Tamandua tetradactyla: one gene and its partner. The protein of the gene in region 2 purifies or fractionates together with the protein of the main gene of each other region. This does not show direct contact. Links are inferred from orthologs where the notes say so. Each region holds a gene or a part of one and is shown on either strand. Other genes may lie near its edges.

Evidence for each region. Proteins that work in one complex are often made in the same cells at the same time.
Region 1: the proteins of UPF1 (region 2) and STAU1 purify together in Homo sapiens (affinity purification with mass spectrometry; 7 studies listed by BioGRID and IntAct, with this or other methods). This does not show direct contact. The link is inferred for Tamandua tetradactyla from reciprocal best matches to the Homo sapiens genes UPF1 and STAU1.

Annotation. Positions count from the first base shown.
Region 1 is NC_135327.1:3,472,530-3,476,273, reverse strand, and holds the start of STAU1 (double-stranded RNA-binding protein Staufen homolog 1), read right to left. Parts: upstream 2,359-3,744; 5' UTR 2,242-2,358; intron 1-2,241. UniProt on the Homo sapiens protein: Binds double-stranded RNA (regardless of the sequence) and tubulin.
Region 2 is NC_135337.1:95,947,343-95,951,086, reverse strand, and holds the start of UPF1 (regulator of nonsense transcripts 1), read left to right. Parts: upstream 1-1,054; 5' UTR 1,055-1,063; coding exon 1,064-1,281; intron 1,282-1,527; coding exon 1,528-1,600; intron 1,601-2,517; coding exon 2,518-2,660; intron 2,661-3,197; coding exon 3,198-3,287; intron 3,288-3,744. UniProt on the Homo sapiens protein: RNA-dependent helicase required for nonsense-mediated decay (NMD) of aberrant mRNAs containing premature stop codons and modulates the expression level of normal mRNAs.

The sequences.
Region 1 (3,744 bases), on a different chromosome or scaffold from region 2:
CTGTTGTTTTTGCACACACAAAAAAAACAAGGAAGTATTTTTGGATTTTACTTTGAGGGGAGAAAGCACTGGATCAATAACTAATCTTGAAGCTAATTTTTTTTCCATTGTACTCGTATGTAAACAGAGACGGGCACCCCAACAAACAAAATTTAGAACTATGATCCTGCTGAAAGTAGATTTTGTGACAAATTAACACACTGAGGCATTCTGATAAAAGTCAAAATCGCTAAAGTTATGATATGATGTTTGAGTTCTGTTTCAAAATAATCCAGTTTGTGGGAAACAGGAAACAAGATTGACTTTAGCTATGAGTTAATAATTGTCAAAGATGAGTGACCAATACATGGCGGTTCTCTAACCAACTTTTGTAGGTTTCCATAATAAACAGTTGTTCTATGACAACTTGAAGTTATCTACAGCAGCATTAAGCATCACTTCTCTAGCACTTCAATTCACAATATGGCAGAAGACATGCTTTGTATTGTCTGTATAGGTGTTTTTTAAGTGTTTCTAAAGAGCCATAACAAGATTTAAAGTAAAAATGATGGTAAGACTTTATGTCAGAAAATTCTAGGAAAATGCCGAGAACAGAGAGGATACTTTGCATTGTTGTATTATTGTGGGATGGTTATAAAAACATTTTAAGTTTACTAAAGAAATTCGCTGCCTAAAAGAACCCATTCAGTATAACAAACACATGCTATTTCTAATTCCTGTAAATTTGAACTTTCAGGAGTTTCAATTCCTTAATGAAGGGTGCAATATACAACTAAGTACAGAATTAAAAGAAAATCAGCATGATGAATAAAACTGTTCTAAAAATCCCACCTGTTGCCAGGATGATTGAAACTGCTCCCTCTATAATCCAACTGTATTTTTAGTTTTTAACTCAACAAGTAGCAACGTAACTTACATTTGGTAAGCACACTGATTTCTGAAAGGCCAAAATCCACGGAAAACCTAGTTTAACTCTTTCCACCGCCTTCTAATCAAAGTCACAAGGAGAAGGGAAGAGTGATCTTAAAAACGTCCCTAGAGTCAAAGAGGAGTGGCAGAACAGACTGAAACACGCATTTCTGCGGGATCGGGAGAAAACTTCCACACAAGCAAAACTGTAACACACGGAAGGAGCAAGAGCTGAAAATGAAAGTCTGCCAACGGGGACGCAGGGAATAAAAGCAAAGCTGCAGTGCAAAAAAAGTTAGGAAGTATAGATGGAGAGCAAGAAAGGACTTATTTTTTCCATCTTCGTACAATCCCCTTCCAGAGCCCGACACACATCAGGTGCTCCAAAAACGTTTGCCGAACTCAAGGGAAGCTTCTGCCAGCAAGTTTCCCAGAAAATGGAATAACAAGAAGTCCAACAACGGAAGAAGAAAAGGACCGGTTGCTCGCAGTGAGGGAGCTGGTGGGAACCCTGCCGTCGGTCAAGCGGAGGAGACGGACATACAACATCTACCTTTTACAGACGGCTGCTCCAAGGTGTCCCATTCCAGCGTTCGCCCCTTTCAGACATTAACAACCCAAAACAATGTCCTGGAGCTGCTGGTGGGCACGCTCAACATCCCTGCCTCTAAGGAAACGCAAACTGGAAGGCGGGTCAACTTCTGTCCGCTCTACCCATTCAATTACACCTTAATACCACGCTAATAAAAGATGCAGGCGGCTTACCGGGACCCGCGGAGGGTCTGAAGCTCTGATGAGGGCTTCACACGCCCCGGCTCACTGAACCTTAGCAGCGGGACCTTGTGAGCCCCTTTTCCAAAGAAGCCCAAAGAGTTTCAGCGACTCGCCCAAGAAGGCAGGGCGAGGATCTATGCCCACGGTGAACACCTGAGCAGTGCTCGCAGTCACCACGTTCCAGAGCCGGGTTGGGGGCACCGGGCTGTTCCGGGGCTCCGGGGCTCCGGAGTTCCGAGCCGCGCCCCTACCCGCTCCCCCGGCCCCTGGCCCGGGAATAACTTCGGCGGCTCCGAGCGCGGAAAGGCGGTCGTGGCACCTGTTTGTGGCCCCAGCAGGGGGTGGAGGGGGTGGGGGAGGGCAGCAGCAAGGCCGCCGGGCGCCCTGACCGGGGGTCTCGGCAGGACCCGCCTCCCTGGGGAAGGCCCCGCCGGCGGACAGAGGCCCGGGGACGGCGACCCCGCGCGCGGCTCGCCGAGGCCTAGGCCCCACCCGCCGCCCGCCGCCCCGCGCCCACGGCCCCGCGCGGGCCGGCCAGGCCGGGCCCAGCCGCCTCACCTGGCTGCTGCCCCGAGTTCGTCCCCCGGCCGACAGGCCTGGGTGGCGGCGGCGACGTCGAGAAGGGGCAGGAGGAAGGAAGTGGGGAGAGGAAGAGGGGACGGCGGGAGGGAAAAGGCGGAGTGGCCGTGGAGGGGGCGGGCGCCGCCCGGCCGGGACGTGAGGGGAAGGGGGAAACCAGAGAGACGCGGCGGCCGCGGGCGCAAACGCTGAGGAGCCGCTGGGCGCCCGCAGCCTGGCAGGAAGTGACGGGGGAGGGGCCGGCGCCCGCCCTCGGCCCCCGCCCGCCTCCATGCCCGGCCCCACCCCCACCCGTGGCCGGAACCACAAGTCCCGGCGGGCGCTCCGGCGGCGCCTGAGCTCGCGGGGCGCGCCGGGAACCTGGCGGACTGGGGCCGAGTCGGCGTGGCACGCCGCGGCCCGCCCTGGGCCCCTGGGCCTGCTGGGAGTTGGGGTCCCGGACTGCAGGCCCGCGCGAGGTGTACCTGGGAAAGTGGGCGGTCCTTCCGCCCTTCCGGTTCTCCCTCCCTTCCGGCCTCCTTTCCGGCCTCCCTCCCACCCTCCTTCCCCCCCTTCTTCCTTTCGTAAGTGTGTCTGAGCAGGCGTCACTGTGAGAGCGGAAAGCATGGTGACCAAACAGAAAGACCCCTGCCCTCATGGAACTTGCATTCTAGTGGGGATAAAACACGCAATAAGTAAATAAACTCCGTAGTCTATACAAAGGGTTCAGATCGATAAATGCCTTGCCCAAAAGGAGGGGAGACAGGCAGAAACCGCAGCCGCGCAAGCAAACAAGACGCCCTGAGAGGGCCGCAAGTGCTGTGAAGAAAACGGAGAGGACGAGGTGACCGACGGGGACGGGCGGGCGGGCCCTTCCGGGGAGACGTCGGAGCGAGACCTGAGCCCGCCGAACGTGTGAGGGCGGAACATTCCAGAAACAAGAAGTGTAATTTTTAGACTTTTGTGATTTTTATGACTTTTCATAGGCTTTTATGAACTTTGTATGTCCCCATTCCTTTTTACAGACACAATTTATCTTCTGGGTAGAACAACACAGAATTTAGTGTAACATACTTAATGATCACAGTTTCTTACTTCCATCTTCCTCCCAAAGAAAACCTTAGTTACTTGGTAAGAGTCAGAAGGTCTTGAGGCCCTTGGAAGAGAATGTGATGGATGGCGTCTAGGCCAGAGAAAAGCTAATCTAAGGAACCCTCTCCTGAACCCCGGCCAGCCCTACAGCTAACCTATATCTTGGCCGTACATTCCGAAAGTTTGGAATACTTAGCGAAATGAAGGATGTTAAATCTCCAGGTGGTTGTTGTTTTCTATTTCTTTTTTTGTTTGTTGTTTGGATTAGTTGCAATTATTCTAACAATCACGTGGTTATCTAGGTTTGCATTGTTGCTTTAATAATGAAACAGATCAGGTTGCAGAGAGCCTGCTGAGTGGCAGCTACACCCTATAGATGGACATGTTCTTTGCATTACAGCACGGTGCCCA
Region 2 (3,744 bases):
CCCAGGGTCGGCCTGTCCCTTAGTGGTTCACTTCCAGGTGGTTTTGAGAGTAGAGCCCGTTCCCCCCTGATGAGCGGGGTGCTGGGTCCTGGGGGCCTGTGGCCGGCACGGGCTTCTCTGTGTAGATGAGAGCAGCAGGGCCTGAGCTGGGTTTTGGGGCCTGGACTGCCTGCGTGGGCACAGAAATTGACACCTGTTTTACCCCTGGGCCGTGTGGGTGCCCCTTTTCCACAGCCCATGACGGGGAGCTCCTGGTGCATGCAGTGCCCCGGCCTGGGGGTGGAACCTGCCCCCAGCACGTGACCCCCAGAGCCAGCCCGAAGCCCAGCCTGCTATCCTGTCCCCTCTCCTGTCTTCTTCCACCTGCACCCGCCCAGGATCCTTGGACCCACAGCAGGCCGCAAGCTTTGGCCTTGGGTTGACTACGAGCGCCTGGAGAGAAGAAGGGCGTCTCGTGCGTCGCCCTGCTGCGGCGGGTGGACATGGGCACCCCTTTCCCATGGCCCAGCCTCTCTGTTTGCTGGGCAGCGGCGCCTGGGCAGTGGCAACCCCTTCTGGGGTCGGGTCCCTGGCGCCAAGGCAGCAGCCGGTCCCAGCAAGGATGATGGAGAGGGCCCGCGCCAAGTATGGCTCACTGGCCGGCAGCCTGTGGGCCCCAAGGTCTGAGCAGACCCAGGCCGGGACACCGGGGAGCGGGACTGTGTGGAGAGCAGCCCCTGCCATGGCACCTTGGCTGGTGGCCTCCACCAGCGTCGCACAGTCACACACGGCTGGGCTTTCTCCGGAGGAGGCTGGGGCGTCATCTGCGGTGCATGGGCGCAGGGCCGTGGGGGGGTGCGTTCCCTGGTGAGGCCCCCTGCAGCACCCCCACAGAAAGGGGCTGCCCGTTCCTCTCTAAGAAAACCTTGGCATCGAGGCCTAAGGATGGTCCCTCCCTCTCGGTGTCTGGGCTGTGGCCCTGGGGCTCCCTGGTGCCGGCCTGCCCTCAGTGCCCGGGTCGTGGCAGGGAGGGGAACCCTCGAGCGGGGCCCTGGGGAAGGGATGGTGACTGCAAGGCCAAGGGATGGGGATGTCTTCAGGTTGGGGAGTTGCCGGGGAGGGCCGTGGAGCGAGACTTGAAGGCCACAGAGGCCAGGCCGCGGCAGGCGCTAGTCGGGCCGGCTCCACATGTGAGCACCAGGCTGGCTTCACAGACCCCCATCTGCAGCGTCTGCGCTCACAGCATGCGATTCCAGTCCCCAAGCAGGGTGCCAGGCACCCCACCTCATGGCCGCCTGAAAGGTGCTGAGTAGGGACATGCCCTTGTACTGCGGGTTGAGCGGAGGTGGGGACAGAGACCCACGGCCTTGGCGGACTCGGGACCCCAGGTGCAGGCAGTGCAGGGTCCGGGAGTCCGGGCCAGAGCGGGGTGCTGCCCACAGGGACCCGGGGCCCTGGCGTCCTGGCTCAGGGCTGGGTTTTAACACATTTCATTATCCCTTCCAAGGTCACATCTTGTTGCAATACTATGTGTCTCGACTCTTTCAGTGATTGGAGGGGAAGCGAACAACCTGGCTACAGCTGTCAGTTTTGCATTGTGCCCAGAAGTGGTGGGCAGAGGGTGAGAGCGTGGGGGAGAGAGCGAGCGGGACAGAGGCAGGAGTGGGGCAGGGAGGCTGGGTAGGTGGGAGAGGGTGGCACGGACCCTTGTCTCTGTGCCTTGCTGATGAGCCCGCAGGGTCCGGGGCTGGCCAGGCACTGGGTGCAGGCTTCTCTCTGCCCTTCACTGGTGGCAACTCAGGGAAGGAAGCACTGAGAGCAGTGGAGGGGTGCACGCCTGGGGCCTTTCCCTCCTGGGCTGGCACAGGCGGAACCGTGGGCGCAGGGGCTCACCCCACCCCAGTATGGAGGGAAGGACTGGAGCAGGCATCTGGAGGACCTGGGGGTCGTGGGGAAGGGTTTGGGAATCGAGGGACAGCAATGCGAAGTTCACACGCCGCCGCGTGGCCTGGTTCCTTGCCGTTCGCCGGGTCACTCCATTACTAGAACTGCAGTCGAGGCCAAGGCCCAGGATGCGGGGTGGGGCCGGGTGGGTGCTGGGTCTCGGCAGGTGGCCTGTGCGTCCAAGGCCGAGCTGACAGTGGTTTGGGCCGGTGGGGGTATCCCTCTGAGGGCACTAGGGGGAAGCAGTGCCTCGGCAGGGGTCCCAGGCCTGAGGGGCTCTTGCCTGCCCCCTTGTCTGGCTGGGCCCCGTGAGGGGTTGGGTGGGAGGGGCCCATGGAGGGAGTGCGGGAAGTGATGCCTGGAGAGGGTCCAAGAGGGACTCGCTGAGGGTGACGCCTGCGTGATGGGGCGTCGCTGTCCCTGTGCAACTGGTGAGACTCTCCCCTAGGCGTGGCAAAGTGTCCCCTGCTGCACCTGGACATGGCCATGGCTCTGCGGCCGGCAAGGACAAGGCCTAGGTGGGGGGGTCGAGGAGGTGAGAGGCGCCCCTGTGGGTCGGCCGGGGCTTCACAGGTGACGTGCCGCTCTATGCAGGTCGGCGGGCCCGAGGGCGTGCTGCAGAATGGGGCCGTGGACGATGGCGTGGCCAAGACCAGCCAGCTGCTGGCCGAGCTGAACTTTGAGGAGGACGAAGAAGACACGTACTACACGAAGGACCTCCCCGTGCACGCGTGCAGGTGAGCCCCGGGTCTTTGAGGAGGCCCGCCCGGGCTGTCCTTGTTTCCGGCACACATGGGAGGAAACCGAGGTCGAGAGAGGTGGCAGCGCGCTGCTCAGGGAGGGCTTTTCCTTTTCCTGGAGTTGCGCTTTGCTCACGTTAATTGATGAGTGCACAGATGCCCCTGTCCTGGCAGGCCGCTTGCTGTGTGTGTGTGGTGGCCCTCTGGGTGGCTGGAGAGGTCCCCACGCGGGGTCCGCGCCCGTCCTGGAACACAGTCCCCTCGGCCCTGCACGTGTTGCTCCCATGGGGAGGATGTGCCTCCGAGACTGCAAGCCCGGGGTAGTGGCCTGCGCAGCCCGGGGTCTCCTGGTGGCTCCCAGCACACCTCGCTTCTGCCTTGTCTTCTGTTTTATGAGGATCTGTTATTAGCACTGTTGGGTTTGAGTATGTGTTTAACGCAAGACTTAAAAACGCCATGAAAGAGTCTCACATACTGCCTCACGCACTTGGGAGCGCAGCCTTCCAGGCTGAACGGTGGTGTCTTGCTTTCCAGCTACTGCGGGATCCACGACCCCGCCTGCGTGGTCTACTGCAACGCCAGCAAGAAGTGGTTCTGCAACGGCCGCGGGAACACCTCCGGCAGGTAGAGGCCCGGGCAGGTGGCCTGCGGGGAGTGCGGGCAGTGGGCAAGAGGTGCCGCGGGAGCCACGTGGTGGCCTGGGAACACCTTCGCCTCCTGCCTGGTCTGTCCTCTGTGACTCTTCTCACATGCGCGTGGGGTTGGCTTCATTCTTGGCCCAGATTTTCACTATGTTCTTGCGTGAGGTGAACTGCTGGCCCGCCCCGGCCAGAGGGACCTCGGGGCCCGGGGAGGTGGCCCGGGGAGGCTGTGGGCAGAGCCCACGCGGCGGAGCCCCAGCGTGTGGCCCTTGCACCTCTTCTTGCTGTCGATCAGCATCGGCCGCAGGACTTCGGGTGAGACGGACCACTTGGCTATTGCACAGCTTCTGGGGGCACAGCTGCTGCCTGGCTGGGCCTTCCCACCCAGGCTGACCGGAATGCCCAGCGCTGCCCCAAGACTCCCATCTCTGGAGACTTAA